Caenorhabditis elegans: one gene and its partners. The protein of the gene in region 2 interacts with the protein of the main gene of each other region in a pairwise test. Each region holds a gene or a part of one and is shown on either strand. Other genes may lie near its edges.

The links. The genes of interacting proteins can lie anywhere in the genome.
Region 1: the proteins of snrp-40.1 (region 2) and col-93 interact in a two-hybrid assay, tested with the Caenorhabditis elegans proteins (one large-scale study listed by BioGRID).
Region 3: the proteins of snrp-40.1 (region 2) and pal-1 interact in a two-hybrid assay, tested with the Caenorhabditis elegans proteins (one large-scale study listed by BioGRID).

The regions. Positions count from the first base shown.
Region 1 is NC_003281.10:10,983,564-10,988,097, forward strand, and holds col-93 (Nematode cuticle collagen N-terminal domain-containing protein), read right to left. Parts: upstream 2,047-4,534; 5' UTR 2,022-2,046; coding exon 1,941-2,021; intron 1,884-1,940; coding exon 1,050-1,883; 3' UTR 989-1,049; downstream 1-988. Other genes in the region: dhc-4 (Dynein heavy chain linker domain-containing protein), read left to right, coding at 4,497-4,534; col-94 (Nematode cuticle collagen N-terminal domain-containing protein), read right to left, coding at 3,304-4,137, 4,187-4,267.
Region 2 is NC_003284.9:11,296,888-11,302,143, forward strand, and holds snrp-40.1 (U5 small nuclear ribonucleoprotein 40 kDa protein), read right to left. Parts: upstream 2,898-5,256; 5' UTR 2,714-2,897; coding exon 2,698-2,713; intron 2,648-2,697; coding exon 2,580-2,647; intron 2,531-2,579; coding exon 2,432-2,530; intron 2,249-2,431; coding exon 1,492-2,248; intron 1,421-1,491; coding exon 1,365-1,420; 3' UTR 1,149-1,364; downstream 1-1,148. Other genes in the region: F08G12.3 (RasGEF domain protein), read left to right, coding at 3,417-3,789, 3,837-4,022, 4,276-4,626, 4,674-4,900, 4,946-5,026.
Region 3 is NC_003281.10:4,803,721-4,811,294, forward strand, and holds pal-1 (Homeobox protein pal-1), read right to left. Parts: upstream 4,990-7,574; 5' UTR 4,989-4,989; coding exon 4,858-4,988; intron 4,382-4,857; coding exon 4,306-4,381; intron 4,252-4,305; coding exon 3,964-4,251; intron 3,640-3,963; exon of another isoform or gene 3,491-3,639; intron 3,429-3,490; coding exon 3,326-3,428; intron 3,152-3,325; coding exon 2,980-3,151; intron 1,534-2,979; coding exon 1,491-1,533; 3' UTR 989-1,490; downstream 1-988. Other genes in the region: rRNA N(6)-adenosine-methyltransferase metl-5, read left to right, coding at 66-261, 518-624, 675-802, 853-966; C38D4.7 (C2H2-type domain-containing protein), read right to left, coding at 6,402-6,548, 6,593-6,647, 6,694-7,103, 7,159-7,344, 7,389-7,430. UniProt on the Caenorhabditis elegans protein: Transcriptional activator. Interacts with promoter regions for tbx-8.9, tbx-9, elt-1, hnd-1, scrt-1, and vab-7 genes. Binds the sequence ATTTATGAC. Binds to the enhancer region of the hlh-1 gene promoter during embryonic body wall muscle development.

The DNA.
Region 1 (4,534 bases), on a different chromosome or scaffold from region 2:
TTTCTATGGTGCCGAAAAGGCCAAGTATCATAGTAAAACTTCAAAAAAAGTATAGTTCTGTCGCATATTTGATGCAAATTGAGATTTTTTTAATTTTCAAAACAATCATATTAAATCTAGATTTTTTATTGAATTTTATTACTATGTATCATATTTGGTTTTTTTTGAACTAGTGGAATTTCCCCGTATACGGTACTCCTTCTTCAAGCCTTGAATTGATTGATTTGGAAGTAATAGGCTACCGTATTTCCTCTATTGTAGCTTAAATGGAGCCTTCTCAAAACCTCTTAGTGGCATGTTGATAGGCAGGCAAAAGTTTGTTAAATTTTCTTTTAAGATAGAATAAGCTTGACATTTTATGGATCAGATGGTTTCAAATCGAGTTTTTTGTCATAAAATTATCTTCTACATAGAGCTCTTAAAAGTTAGTCTTTCGTGCGAAACTAATCAATGAAATACGGTAATAGATTTGGACTAATATTTATTAGTTGAATCTACGATATTGTTTCTTTACTATGTTTCATCAATTTGCTTGTCATTGGCATCAGTACTTTCCGTCTAAAACCAGATTACATTTGAAGCTTATTCATTAATAACTTTAAGAATTCCTTTACACCAATAAATTGAGAGAGAACGCGATTTTTAGCTGTGATATAGTATTTTGATTGGTTTTTGTAGTTTCCCGATTTATACAATAAAATCATGGTAAATTTTTGCCAGATGAGGTTTCAAAGCAATTACAAAACAATTTCAGAGATTCAGGGTGTCACTACCTTGTGACACATACAACCAGCATTAATCCCGATAGAATATAAGTCGTTTATTGGGATTATAAGTTGTGTTCTTACAATTTTTACTTTGATATAATTAAATAACTGACGTATTGCTTCGTGTTGTATTAATTATGCTTAAATAGATTTCCAGTTTCAAAAACCACAAGTAATAAGACCTGTCAAATAAATTCTTTAAAGAAATTGAAAAATTGAAATGAAATGTTTTTATTCGATTAAAAATGACTAGACGGTAAAGAACTAAATCTTCCTGAGTGTTTACTTTCTGCGGGTTCCGTCCTCGAAGAATACTCCTCCGTCGATGGCGCAGTACTTTGGACAGATTCCCTTCTCTCCGGCACCTCCAGATTGTCCTGGCTGTCCTGGGGCTCCTGGGTTTCCGTCGGCTCCTGGCTGTCCTGGGGCTCCTGATGGTCCCTTTGGTCCTGGGGCTCCGGCTTGTCCTGGTCCTCCTGGGGCTCCTGGGGATCCAGCTGGTCCTGGTGGTCCTTGTGGTCCGGCTTGTCCTGGGGCTCCTGGAGAAGACTCGGATTGAGCGTCGGATCCTGGTTGTCCTGGGGCTCCAGCTTGTCCTGGGTTTCCTGGGGCTCCTGGGGCTCCCTTTGGTCCGGCTGGTCCTGGGGCTCCGGCTCCTGATCCTTGCCCGGCTTGTCCTGGTGCTCCGGCATCTCCTTGTGGTCCTGGGGCTCCTGGGGCTCCAGCTGGTCCTTGTGGGCATGGCTTGCATGGTGGTGGGGTGATTGGCTCACATGGTTGTGCTGGTGGGCGTCCTGGGTTTCCTGGAAGTCCAGCTGCTCCTGGACGTCCTGGTCTTCCTGGCTTTCCTGGGGTTCCGGCTGGTCCAGCGGCTCCTGGAAGGCAGCATCCAGAGCATGATCCTCCTTGGGATCCGGTGTTTCCGGTCTCAACAGCCTCATCGGTTCCGTATCCAGCTTGACGGGCGAAACGGGAAGCGTTCTTTGGAGATCCACGGATGTGGTTCACCTCAGCGAAAATGTCACGAGCAGAGTGCTTGCAGAACTTGATCTCATGGTTGATCTGGGTCTTGATTCCATCAACATAGTTGTACACCAATGGAAGGGTGATGCACAGCTAAAATATTCCATATTCAATTAACTAAAATGTAGAGTGCAAAGAATTCAAACTTACCGAGAAAACGGCGACAACCGAGAAGGTAACAGCCGAGTAGGCGACAAAGCGGTAAGCCTGAAGACGTTGTTGCTCCTCCATTGCAATAAAGATGGGCAAGTGCGCGTTTTACCCGTCCCCACAACCCCATTATATAGTGTTCAGTTCCGTTAAACTGTATTGTATTAAATTTACACTCAAACTGTAATGGGTGGAGAGTGTAGATTAGGTTTGCAGAGTGTTCAGAAATCGTTTGTTCCTTCTTTTTCAATTTTTTTTTCTCAAATAGTCATTTTAGTTGCGCCATTGGCATTGAAGATGCCGGGGAAAATTGGAGAATTAAAGAAAAGGAAGTGATAAGGAAGTAGCTGCCAGCCAGCGACAAGTGACCATGAACTGTTGTGATGGTTGTGTTCTGAAGGTTATAGAAGTAGATTAGGTTTCAAATTAGTCTGGTCAAGTGCTTCAGTCTCATTTGATGTCAATCTTATAGAGTCGACTAGGGCAAGAAAAAACAATCGGAGTTTCTCGAGATGTTCTGAATTTTATGGGATTGAAAACACATTTGTTGAGTTCACATATCTCCAACTTTTCAAAAGAAAAAAGTATAAAACTGTGATTATTTTCTTGCCAAGCTTTGCTTCATGAAAATACCTAACATAAGTTTAAAGTTGTGATTTATTAAGCAATTCTAGTCTATTCAAAATACAGACCCACCGGATGTCAGTTGCTGTAACTTTCAACTGAATAGAATTACATAATTTGGACAGTATTAGAACTAGAAAAAGTATTCGGCAACATTTTGATAGTCAAGAGTATTTTGCTAACTATCACAGTTTTTGGGTTATGCATGTTTAAACATTTCCCCATTTACGATAATAATTGTTTTATTCAAATCAAGGCCTTTTCTTGGATCAAATGGAATATCCAAGGATTTTTCATGCAACTTGCTTATCAACTAAATACAACGACACCAGTTTATTCATACTTCACAAGAAAATAATTAGTAAGAGAATTAACCCTACACTAATTTTCAACACAACTTGGGCCATTCCTTTTTTGTATAATAAAAGACTCTTTACAATAATTTCTTTAGCTTCATCAATTAACCATTCTAAAAAATTCAAGCGCCTACCGCACAAGGCGCTTCCTTTCAATTTGTCCGTCTTTATGTGGCTACTTAACTATTTTGCAAACCAAACACCCGCAACGGCAGCTACTTTCACTTTCCGTATCTCTTAGTTTCGCCTCTTTGTCTATGAAAAACCGACGTAACCGAAGGAGATTCATGTGTACTGTGAGAAGAAATAAAAGAGAAAAAGAAGAAATTACGCAAGATTGAAATGAAATCTGTTTATTTGATCGGAAGAAATAAATCTGACATTTACTTTCTGCGGGTTCCGTCCTCGAAGAAGACTCCTCCGTCGATGGCGCAGTACTTTGGACAGATTCCCTTCTCTCCGGCACCTCCAGATTGTCCTGGCTGTCCTGGGGCTCCTGGGTTTCCGTCGGCTCCTGGCTGTCCTGGGGCTCCTGATGGTCCCTTTGGTCCTGGGGCTCCGGCTTGTCCTGGTCCTCCTGGTGCTCCTGGGGATCCAGCTGGTCCTGGTGGTCCTTGTGGTCCGGCTTGTCCTGGGGCTCCTGGAGAAGACTCGGATTGAGCGTCGGATCCTGGTTGTCCTGGGGCTCCGGCTTGTCCTGGGTTTCCTGGGGCTCCTGGGGCTCCCTTTGGTCCAGCTGGTCCTGGGGCTCCGGCTCCTGATCCTTGTCCGGCTTGTCCTGGTGCTCCGGCATCTCCTTGTGGTCCTGGGGCTCCTGGGGCTCCAGCTGGTCCTTGTGGGCATGGCTTGCATGGTGGTGGGGTGATTGGCTCACATGGCTGTGCTGGTGGGCGTCCTGGGTTTCCTGGAAGTCCAGCTGCTCCTGGACGTCCTGGTCTTCCTGGCTTTCCTGGGGTTCCGGCTGGTCCAGCGGCTCCTGGAAGGCAGCATCCAGAGCATGATCCTCCTTGGGATCCGGTGTTTCCGGTCTCAACAGCCTCATCGGTTCCATATCCAGCTTGACGGGCGAAACGGGAAGCGTTCTTTGGAGATCCACGGATGTGGTTCACCTCAGCGAAAATGTCACGAGCAGAGTGCTTGCAGAACTTGATCTCATGGTTGATCTGGGTCTTGATTCCATCAACATAGTTGTACACCAATGGAAGGGTGATGCACAGCTGTAAAGATATTTTGATTAGAACCTGGCTGAAAAACTTGAAAACTAACCGAGAAAACTGCGACAGTGGAGAAGGTAACAGCCGAGTAGGCGACGAAGCGGTAAGCCTGAAGGCGTTGTTTCTCGTCCATTTTCAGATGAGGTGTCTAACATGTCATTGATGATTCCTTTTATACCTGCGCTAGCCTAGCCCAACCCCTTATACAGTTTTACACACTCTTTTGTGTAACCCCTTCCTTCTCCTCTAGAGAAGTGTCCCTGAAAAAGAAGAAGATAACCGATCGTAAACACTTCCGCATTACCTTACTGCATGATCATACCTATCTGAAGGTCATGATACTGTCAACTTACAACTTTCAGAGAACTAGTAGCAGAAGGCACACGGCTAAATGAAGCCC
Region 2 (5,256 bases):
GCAAAAATTAATTACTAGCAAGTTGCTTTGATGAGGCTGATAAAAAGGAAACCCTAGATACATTTTAATTACACTAGCGATAAATTTAAATATTAAGAATATTGTACAGAAACAAAACAACAGAATTGAAGAAGAAACGCGTTGTGACACCGGAGCTCTCCCACCAAATGGCCAGCGCAAGTAATGCGAACGCGGACCACTACGCGAGGTGTGCGCACGCAAACGCTACGTGCAGTCTAGAAGAGGTCACACAGCAGAGCGGTCCGCGCTCATCGACCGTATTATCTCGGACCTCCGAGAAACGGCACACAGTGAGAGAGCGAGAGACTACAGAGAGACGCAGAGAGACCCATCTGCAATGTTGAATGGCACTCGAATATGAGATAACACCTAATAATGACGATGGGAAGAAGTAATGTGTTCATGCACGAGCAAATACCTAAAAATTAAAAAGGCAAGGAATCGACAATTTGGTTTAATATCTGGTGTAATTTTTTTTTTTTTTTTTGAAAAAAAAGAATGAGCAAATATTTTAAATACGGTTGGTGTTTTTAAGTACGTCATTCATGTCCACTGCGAGAATCGGGAAATCATGCAGCTGCAATCAACCGTACAAGTACTTGTTTGCTCAATAAAAAACTGTGCACAGACATCCCATCATGGAATAGTTTAGTTTGGTCTGTATTAATAATCCAAGTATTAAACTCGATTGAAATCATACACGGTCGCGCCAAAATAACTGCTCCGTGGATACTGCTAATTTTATCTCGACACCGTTTGCAAGCATGGAGCGCGGTTTCTTAGATTTTTGTTTCAATCATATTCTATGCTTTTTTTAAATTGTAAAAGACTGAAAAGCTTGCATACGGCCCCTCGACTCAGTATGACAGTACTCAGGGAACGATCATTTTGATACGACTCAACTATAACACTTAAAAAAAGGAAAATATGCTTAAACTTGTTTTGCCATTTGACAAAAAAGAAAGAAAAAAGGAGAACTTGAGAATTAAACAATTGCCAGTAACTCGGAATGCGAATTGATACTTCTTCACGCATTGATAATTATCCATCCAATTGTTTACTCTAGAGCAATTGCGGTAAATTGATTAAATATTGACCTTCATCTTTCGCTGTTACCGCCTTCATCTTCTTTCGTATTTCCATTAAAACAATTTTTCTGGCGTACTTCAATTTTGAATTGCAAGAATTCATTTGATAAAACATGATCACTGAAAAATAAATAAAGAGAGTCGGACATAAAGTAAGTTCAAAAATTACATCAAAAAAGGAGATCCAGTGAAAAAAACAAAACAGAAAAATGACAAAAAACAAATTTAACCGGCGAATATGGATGTTTTGAATTTCTAGCTCATATCGATTTCTCCCAAGAAAACACGTTTGTCACTTCCACACGAGAGCACTGAAAAATTGAAATTATTGAATGGTCAAACAATGGAAATTTTAAATTTTTGTAATTTATTTTTAACTCACTGATAGGTTCCTTTGGGTGGAAATCGGTACAGTTGACACTTCCCATGTGACCTGGAAGCTTGTACACAATTTTTTTCGACAGTGTTTCCCAGACGTAGAGAAAACGATCCGACGAGCCAGCAGTGATGAATCTCTCACATGGCGACCAAGAACATTTGAGAAGGTTCTTCTCGAAATTGTGATTATGACCAGCAAAAACTCCCACCGAACGTTGTCCTGGTACGAATGGTCGAATATCCCATTGTCGAACAGTGCAATCCATTGAATTGGAAATGATGAATTTCCCACTTGGTGACAAAGAGATTCCAGTAATTGTGTCACGATGTCCAGTCAGAGTGTAAGTAATCTCGTCACGACGCATGTCCCAAACTTTGAGCACGTTGTCAATTCCACCACTAATCACTTGATCCGAAGAATCATTGAATGTAACTGCTGTCTGCTGGTATCGGTTGGTGTAAGTCTTCACTGGTTCCTTGGTTCTCATATCATGCACACGACATGTTCCATCGTCACTGGCAGAAGCGACAAGAGTTACACCACGACGAGACGGATGGACGGCGTTCACAAAGTCTGTGTGAGTTCTGAAGCGACGAGCGCAAGTCCCGGTTTCCATATCCCAGACACGAACACTTTTGTCTGTTCCACAAGAGACCAAACTGCTGCTGTCGGTGGTGAATTTTAAATCCATAACTGCTCCTGAGTGTCCTTTGATTGTAGAAAAGTTCTCGCATTCGCCGTATACATTCCAGAAGAAGATCTGCAAATCATTGCTTAAAAGGGTTGTTTAGTATGAAGGTAGTTTTATATTCGGTTTTTTCAAGACTATACAAAGTTCTACGTTCAATTGTTCTTATTTGCAAAGACCAATTAATAATTAAATCATAGAATTTAATATTTGAATATAAATTCTTGAGACCACAAGGATTTGAAAAAAACTCACTTTCTGGTCGTATCCACTAGTCGCTAAGCATGTTCCATCTGGGCTGAATGCACCGGTGTAAATTTCTCCTTCATGACCTAGCAAAACCATTGTTGGTGCCTGAAAATATAGATTTCTGTTTGTTGTTTGATAAATGTTTAATATTTACCATCAAATTGGAGAATCTCTGCGCAGTTTGCTGTGGAAATCCAGAGCTGACCAGTTGCTGTCCCGAAGCTGAAATGTTTTATAAAAATAAATTACACAAAATTATAAAATAAACTTACAAGTAACAAGAGCCATCGTTGTGTTGGTAAATGTTGGGTTCCACTGGAAAAACAAATTTGAACACTGGAAGACGTTTTCGAATAGACAATGACGATGCAGTGTGAGAAACGCGGAGACGAGTTGTAAATGCAATGCGGTGGAGCGCGTTTACATTTTCTAGTGCGCACACTTGCCGTTCGTCCTCCCTCCCTGGCAGCAGGTCGGGTCTCCTCTCAATGTCTGCCGGCGCTGAGAAGAGAGCATAGGAAAGAAGGAAAGTAAAAAGAAACAAAGAAGAGTGAGAAGAGCTGCTGTGTGGCAACCAACGACCGCATGGAAATTTGTGGAGGCCACGAGAAAGAGTGCACATTACAGAAAAAAAAACAAATTTTTGCCAACTAGGCAGAAGAGCGTGGTTCACACGGAGAGTGGAGACGACATGGAGATAAACATTGGATTCTGTCCGCTATCAGTTACCTTTAGACGTTATCAAGGCGAAAAAACGCTTGAGGCTACGTACGCATCAGGCTTGCCAAAAAAGGTTCCCCTGGCAACCTGCCAACTCTCCAAGCCATCTCCACTTTTCTTTCCTCCCATGCTGAATCTTTTGTACATTATATCAGTTTAGAGTTTTTTTCCGTTTCTCATTGTTGCTTTTTCGTTTTGATTGTTTTACATATAAATTCATATGTTTTCAGATACTCAGAATATATTTCTCAATCAATTCATTGCGGCACTGATGTTGCAAAGTGATCAAGAGCAATTGCTCCAGGCGCAGCAAGCGTTGAACAGGCTGAATCTTTATCAAATAACTCAGCGAATTGTTACGAATCAACAAAACCAATTTGTTACCCAACAACATGATCAATCAGTTCAACCAAACCATACAAGCAGCCCGGCCTACTATGACGAAAATATAAGAACACGAAATGAGGAAATAGACGGAGCGATTGAGTATCACAGAAATATCCAACCTTTGGAGCACATATCCACTTGTATACTCAATCACATTAATCAATTCTCAATGCAGGAAAAAATGGAGTGGTTACACGACCGACCAAAAGCCGTTGAGACTTTGCAACAACGTTCCACTGTTCTTCTGCATGAATTAAGTAAGTCAATTGTTAACACCAATAAAATAATGTAACAATAATTTCAGCAAACGTTGATGACTTTTCACGCTTGTTCGGTCTCATGAATTTTGGCGAGCGCCAAGTGGGTCTAACGTCAATCCAACAAGAGTATCAGAAAATCCATGCTGTTCTTCAAGAATATCTACAGTTCCAGCAAACTAAAACTATATTGCTTTTGGCTGCACGAATCTTTGGATCGTCTTTACTCAATGGTGGGTTTGAGTTTACAATTTTTACGTGCTGAGTTGTACATCAAAATTTTAACTTTCAAAAAATATAAATTAAGTATTTTCTAGCAAACAAATTGTCAACGTTAGCGTATCTAGCTGAATATGAAATTTGGTTGTTTAGTGCCATTTTTATTTTTGTTAACAATGAAAACTTTGAAGCTATATTTATGTAAAAGTCAGCTAATTAAGCAACAAAACTACAAAATATGGAGGTTTACGTAGAATTTCAATTCAGCAGTTCCAAATAATCAGCTTGCTCAACTGATGTACACTTTCCCGAAACCTGAAGGTGCAATGCAAACCCTCAATTATAATGTTCACAATGGGCTTGGACCATCAACACTCAGCTCACCAGGAAAGATTAAGGAGAAAAAAAGCTTCACCCAATATAGGAAGATTAATGAACGGTTCTCTCAAACAAAATCACCTACCTTATACACAAACATCTTCGGCGAAACTTCGATGTCAGTTATGAACGCAGCCAATGCCATCAGATCCTGGGAAGACAGAAAAGCTGTTGCAGAGCATATTCATACCTATGTTGAGAAGAAAAGTTTACTTCACGAATTCGTTCGCAAAATTTCAAGTGAGATTGAGTTCAAGTTTATAAAAGCGTCAATACTTTTTTTGCAGATATTGGACTTCGAGAGCTCAGTGGTTTCTTTGGGGCAGCAAGAAAACCACTTCCATGGGATGCAAAGGAAAATCAAATCTTTGAGATGGTTTTCCCAAAGTTAGCTGTCTTTTTATACGCAACAAATCGAACCCCACATGTCGTCGCAGAAATGGAGCTTCTCTCTGAACATCAATACGATTTCAAGAAACATTTCAAAACGGCCAACAAGAAAAAATACAATCCAGTGAGTTTCAAATGAATTGTGTTCGTTACTCATTGTTACTCTCAGAATGGGCTCTGTTATTTGGAGGATATTCTGGATGTCTTCGAGGGACAACAGAGAAAGTATCCAAACTGGGATACCAATTGAGTCAAATTATACTCCGGTCATTTCAATTCGCCAATATCTCCAATTCATGTTCTGTGATGCCATCTTCAATGATCCCCGTTATTTTTAATTTCCTGAATATCATTTGTCATTTGATTTTAATAATTTATTCTCGACACATTTTTTTACATTCTTCATTCAAGTAAGGGCATAATAAATAATAATAAACTTTAATTACATTTTCTGTTTCTTTTCCAAGAGCTCTAACCATA
Region 3 (7,574 bases), on a different chromosome or scaffold from region 2:
AAAAACATTTTTGAAATAAGCTTTTACCAACTAAAATCAAAATAAGAAAATCAAAATAATTACAGTCTCGATGATGGAAATGATCGATGAAACAATTGGTTTTGAAGGAAAGAAATTAATTGATATCGGATGTGGATGTGGAATGTTAATGACGACAGCTGCCACAATGTATGAGTTGGAGACTGTTTTAGGAGTTGATATAGATGATGAAGCACTTAAAATTTGTTCTAGAAATTTGGAAACAGCTGAAGTACAGGATAGGTGAGAACTAAAAAAAAAGTAAAATATATGTTTACATTCTAAATTCAACTAACATTTTTCAATTTGAAATTTAACCTACAAAAATACCCGGTCTCGAAGCGGCTCAAAATGTGGAGTTAGAAACTACAGTACTCTTTAAAAGCGCACATCTTTCTGAATTTAAGAAAATCGGGCGCTTCGAGACCGGGTACCGTATTTTCGGCTAAAAATCGTATTTGGGTAATAATAAAAAATTAAAAACTTTCAATTCTTCCAGATGCGAGCTTCTACAAGCCGACATTCTCGACCCGGAATCCGATCTTCCACGTGGCACATTCGACGTGGCTGTCATTAATCCTCCATTTGGAACAAAAAATAATGCAGGTAAATATCCAACGATCTCCTAAAACGTTACAATATCTTAAATTTCTCAGGAATCGATATGCAATTTGTCCAAATCGGTCTTCAAATGGTTCGGCCTGGTGGAAGTGTATTTTCACTTCATAAATCATCAACTAGAGATTATATTCTAAAAAATGCAAAGAAATGGGACGGAGTTGGGGTTTGTTTTTAAATTATTCTAAAATTAGAAAAAAAAATATTGAGTTTCAGGCAGAATGTTGTGCAGAAATGCGGTGGCAACTACCAGCGACTTACAAATTCCATAAACAAAAGGCCGTGGATATTGCCGTCGATTTAATACATTTCAAAAAACTGGATAGTTAATCTCATCAATTTCTGCTGTAAATTCTTCAAAATTGTTTCATTGTTTTGTTATAAAAAATATGCAATCAAGATATGTGAGAAAAGCAAAGAATTCTCTAAACTTTTCCAAAAAATAGAAAACATGTTCAAAATGGATCCGTTCAGAGTGGGAAGTAAATACATAACAAATGGGGACCTAAACTTTTTCCTAAACCTTGAGAAGGGTAAGAAACAAGAAATCACAATAAATAAAGAAGCTCTATATTAGGGAATAATTCATTAGAGAATGATTGGATTAGTTTACAAAGCAGAAGGAATGATCGGAAAGTTATAAATATATATATATATATGTTAAGGGCAGTGATGATTAGAATATTCTGATGTGAGAGAATGGGAGATGGGACAGGAAGAAATTATATAAAAGTGTGAATTTAACCGTATTCAAGCGAGAGAAATGTAAAAATATAATAAATGTGTACAATATTCTAGAAAAATATGAAAATTCCCAGAATTTTTGTACATTTTCTTTGTAAGTAGATGAGTACTTATAGCCGAATCTTCTGTTTGTCACGACGATCCTTTGCACGCCTGCAATTAAAAATATTACAGTATTATTACGGAAATTAACAATTTATCAGAATATATTGAGATCAAAAAGATGCCGTCCCAGTGGTGAATTCAAAAAAAATACGCTTTTCAAAGAAAAGGGATAGGGAACATCAATCTTTTGGTTTATATTCCCTTTCTTTTAATGAATACAATGACCGGTATGGTTCGTCCGTATGTTACCTCTTCCCAGGAAAACGGCGGTCACGTCTGTCCAACACAGTATGTATGTCTGTTTGGATTGGGACGCTACAGGAAAGGGACACACACATTGATTTCCATTTTACAGCACTCTGGGAATCTCTGCCGACGACGTTTCTATTCCCCTCGTAAATCTTTCGATGCGCACTAATATTGTCAAACAAGGCAACAGACAACAAAAAAAACGACTGTTGAGCAGATAATTGGTATATCTCTGCGAGCTGGTCAGAAACCCTTGCTTTATCATTTCTGTAGACTCTTTCATTGAGCTAGAACCTCACCTAATTAAATAAAGGCAAAAACTTGAAATTTGGGGCATTTTGAGTATATTTTTTTGCAAACCTACAAACGATACTCTCCCTTTAACATGCGAGTGAAGGAGATTAACAGTAGCACTTTACGGGAAGTGTTTTATCCCAATAACTTGGAAATTCGCACTAGATATCCTATTCCCTTGTTAATTTCCAAATCCCCGAACGCGTAGATAGCCACACATGCAAGCAGTGACCACCTCTCTTCTACAGTAATACCAATTAGAAAGTCGTAAACGGACCAATTAACAAACTTCATCTCTTCCTCACCTCCACCAGCACGTCTCAAACACTGTGGCCTCCAATTACACAACTTTACGACTCTTTAATTCCTTGGAACTATCTCTACTGCGCGCGTGGACTGAACTGAATCTTAAAGAACGAAAGTGTGGTGGTACTTTTTCCTATGGTTACAGTAGGAGGTGACAGTCATTGTGATGAGTCCCCTGGAAAAGCCTGAGAAAGAGTAAGCAAACAGCAAACAGCAAACAACGTATTTGGCTCGAAAGGGCGCGGAATGAATGAATTCAAATGAGATTTGCAGAGGGCAACATCATCTGTTAATTAAATGACGTTGTGAAATATGTGTCAATATTTGAAGTCTAATCTCATGATTCCAATAAACCAAATTAAACTTTCAGATCTATTAATATGACATCTCACACCATAACAATCCCAATTTGCCACCTCTCATCATATAAATTGAGGTCACTCTAACACTCTTTCACGGCTAAAGACTCTCCTGCTACCTGCCACACGGGTCGAATTGCGTAAGCACCGTAACTCATACACCGCATCACCTTTACCGCCTTTCATCTCTGTGCCAAATCAAGAAAACTTGATATTATTTTGGTGTCTTCAAATTTGTAGTAATCAATCATCCCATTTTAGGCAGTGAGTTTAAAAAAGAATCTACCTATTTTGAAACCAAATCTTGATTTGTCGTTCTGTCAAGCTTAACATCGTCGACAATTGGGACTTGCGATCTGATGTTATGAATGGCGATGTATGGAATTCTTTTTCCAGTTCAAGGCGTTGATAATCCGAGTAAACCATACGGTATTTGTCAGCTGTTCGTACACGGACATCTGAAAATAAGTTTAATTACAAACTCCCTCGTAATAAAATGGGAAATTGATGGGAAAGGAATCATAAATACTCAATTCATTTGTCCTAGTTACTGATAAATATGACTGATAGCGGCTTCTTTTTCACTTGAAGAGAGATTGTTTGCACACGGGGAGACTCTTTTGAAAACTTACTATTCGTTCCAGGTCCCGTTGGTAATGTTTTCCCATCACTGCTTGATCTTCGATCCTTTCCATGATTGTTTCCAAGAGGCATTTTCCACGAGAATCCCTGAAACTTAAATTATCTTTAAAACAAGCTCACTTGGAGGAGAACTAACAGATCAAAAATTGGCTGCTTTATTAGACTTATTAGACATTATTAGAGATATTTATTAGACAAGTTACCACAAACGACAGAATTTCCTAATTTTATGGCAGCTTAAAATATCGAAAAGAGCCAAAAATGCTGAAATCTAAAATTTTATCAACTTATCCTTGTCTAGTAGCTGAAATACAGTTTTTAGTAAGTTTTCATTTTTCATTGCATATTTTGGTAATTTATCTCGTGTTAATTCGTTGATTTAGGCGCGTTCTAAGCCGATAGGCACTGAATTTTTGTAATTTTTGGAAGTAGACTGCTTAAATCAATGAATAAACGCGAGTAGCCGTACCTAAAATATGCAATAAAAAATAAAATTCAATAAAAACTGTACCAACAATTTAGAGTCATAAAAAATGTGAACAGTTTTTGAAAAGTCTCGCTAGGAAATTATGTTTTTTGGTGTTATAAAAGCCAACAAAGGTATTAAAATACAATTTTATATGATTACCTGTTGATAATCCATAAACGGCCAAACAGATTGCTGATAACACGTGGCAGCTCTCATCTGGTAGTTGGCTGCAGCAGCAGCAGCTGCTGAAAGCTCTGAAGAAGATGCAGCTCCAGATGATGTTGATGGGAACGGTGTCATCATATCACTCGGTGATGGATACATTCCACTATCACTACTGCTACTTCCATTCGAAAGCGGTGGCTTCACATCAACGGCTTCTACTGCTGGAATTTGTCCGTTGGCAGCGAGTTGTGGAAGGCCGAATGGATAGAGATCCGGATGTCCCTGGAAATTCAATTTTTAAATAAAAAACCTTAAGGAAATTCATTCAAAACGTACGTAAAAACCAGTATCACCCATTTGTGACCACCTTCCATAGATTTGTGGATCAAATGTTGGTTGCAGCATCTTTTCTCTGAAAAAAGAAAATTAAGTATAAAATGAAAAAAAAAAACAAGAAAAACTTCAAAATATAGCACCTCCTTAATCAAATGTTCTTGTCAATTGATACACACACACACGCCTATTACCTCTTAGACACCCTCCCGCTTCATTCCAACGGTGGAAATGGGCGGAGCAATGTCTTCCAATACACTGTGGAGGCGGGGCGTTACCGTACCCTCCGGATAGATCGAAAATTTGCATATAACCTTTCAAACAAATTCTATCATCAAAAAGGCGACAATATTTGAGAATAAATACATGGTTAGCAAATATTTTGAAGGAGATAAATAAGAGAAAGGGCATGGATTTACAACCATGTGTGTGTGCTGGATTATTAAATATTTATGGTATTTAATTTTGTTCACTTGGTCGTAATGAAACACCAACAGGAAATATTTAATTTTTCGTTGATTTTGAGATTCCAAATAAAAATTTCGAAGATCTAGCCTCAGAGGATGTGGTTGCATGAATGGCATCATTGGATAGTGAGGCCACGTGACATCTGCTGGAACTGTTGTTGGTGAAGGTGTTGATGAGGACTCGTTTTCCGAAAAATCCGACTTGACATCGACCGACATTCTGAAAACGAGGAAGTAATTATCAGTTTATATAGAGAAAAGTGAACAGTAATAAAAATTCAAAATTTGAAGGAAGATTTTCGAGATTTGATGAGAATAGCAATAAAATAACGAGCTGGCAACCCGGCACCGCCTCCTGCGGCTCATTGAGCACTTGGGAAGGCGGGATTTATCAGATATGAACGGGAGAGGGAATTGTGAATGATTTATAGCCACACGTCGATTTTCAGACAAACATATCACTTTTACAATGAGACAGGTCGGCAAGGAAACAAAAACGCCCAGTTCGTTGGGAAATAAATTATTGGTCTGTGCAGGAAACTGTCCGAGACTGTATTCGAAGATGGATTTTCTTACTTTAATAAAATATGCGTTTTTAGAATTGATTTTTAGCATTGAAATTAGCAAGACAAATATAAAAGAAACGTTAAAACTCAACAGAAATGAAGAACAGAAAAAAATTAACACTGAAAAATTTTTACTGACTGATCAGCTCAATAGAGCGCACTTTCCACTTGTCGATTTACGAAGATTTTTATTTAATTTATTGTTCAATAGTTAACTTGCTGTTAAATATCTTTTTATTTAAATAAATATTTTAAAAATTATAAAATTTTGAAAAAGATTAGAAAAAATCATCTAGCCAAAAATTAAGAAAAGAAGAATTTTAGCCACTAAATTTAATTTCAATGAGATCCCGCCTTTAAAATAATTTGAAAAATAGATCACTCACCTCATATTTGATCTACTCGCCCAAATAATAGTAAGTCTACCGGCCATTGAGCCCATCTGGAATTGAGGTTCCATTACGATGTTCATTAGGAAATAAATGAGCGATGAAAGTTTAATTGAGTACGATACGAATGAGCATTTATGACTGACAGGTTCATGTGGAGCAAAGATTACGGTAGCAGAGAATTATTTCTCTTATCAGAAACGAGTGATCTATTAAATAGTTATTCTAAAAGTTGGAGATTCTTAACAAAAAATGTTGCTGAAATCGACAATTTGTCCTCCAAAGATTTGATATAAAAGGCAACAATGAGACCGCCCTTTGACTGATTATGTACCTTCTTTCAGAACATTAAACATTTACGATCTGGGAACTCTGCAGCTGTCATGAAGAACAACAAATGGAGCATCTGAAAATATCAAAGAGTCGCTTACTACTCGATTTCATGCACTATCAAGTTTGACCTGAATATGACCCGGCTGTCTGTTGCGTAATCGTTTTGCTCTTTGTGCATCTATGATACCGCCGTGAGAAGAGCCGCGTCTCGTATTTATTGCCACCCACTGTTGGGAATAGTTAGATAGCTGGTAGGAGAAACAAGATTTATTTACTATAAAATTTATTTGTATCAAAAAAGCTTAAATTTTAAAACAAAAACGAATATAAATTAAAAAAGAAATTTAACACGAGGTCTGCTTTATTCGCAGTGACCTTCTCGCCCCAAGTTCGCCGGCGTGGTTGTTTGAAAAGTGATCCACGAGCTGCTCCTTCGTCTGGGAAACTTCATTGCAGGTCCTGCATCGGAAGCTCTTGAATTTTTCAAGATCCTGAAAAACAACTTCAACTAATTTTTTATAATTTTCAGGCTTACCTTATCGTACTGAGATCCTTTCCCCACCAGCACTGCACCGATGAACACATTATCTCTGAAACTCTCATTTAAATTGAAAAAAAAAACACAACTAGAATTACCTTTCAGCAGATCGTCCATGGTTTCTGTTTTCCTCATCTCGAATCTTTTTCAACTCCTTTGCAGCATCAACAGGTGCTCCGGTCCGCTTGGCTAAATTGGATTGACGAACAACGGCAGACTTGACTCTTTTCGCTGGTTTGAGGGAGCTGGACGATGGATTCTTTTGACCAACCACATCATATGACGAAGCGTGGCTCCTATCGACACGTTCCACGAGAGAATGGACAAGTGCCATCATCTTATCCATATTTTGCTGGCTCCGCTCGTCGGCCTTCTCTCTTTCAGCTCGATGCTCTTCGCGAATGGATCGTTGATCGGCGCGAGCTTCTTCTTGGGCTTTTAGCATCTTCTCACACAACTGCCCAAACATGGATGACTGAGCAGCCAGAGTACCCAGTGAGTGCACAATCTGAAAAATAATTCCATTTCAGTAATGGCTCAATTGTAAAAGTCAATGTACTAACCGCATTTTCCAAAGAGTTTTGTGGTGGTTGGAGCATCGGATTTTGGAGTTGGTAGGGGAAGAATGGGACCATATCGCGGTTGAGGGTAAATCCCGCCATATTCGGTGCACCATTTCCCACAGCAGAAAGCAAACTCGCGGGAGTTTCAGTAGTCTGGGCAGTCTGTCGGGTGGCGGAATCGCCATTCTGAAAACGATTATTTTTTAGGTACAATGAAATGAAAAACTCACTTGGTCAGCAGAGGCTGGAGCTGGAGTGCTTGGCTTGCTCATCCTGAAATGTATGATTTTGTGAAGATTTGCACTTTTAGCAGCTAAAACGACAGTGATCGTGGCGAGACCCAACGAGAAGAATAGCGTGAACACGTTCTAATAAAAAAAATTCCGAATCAAAAGCTGAAAAGGAAAGAGGAAAAG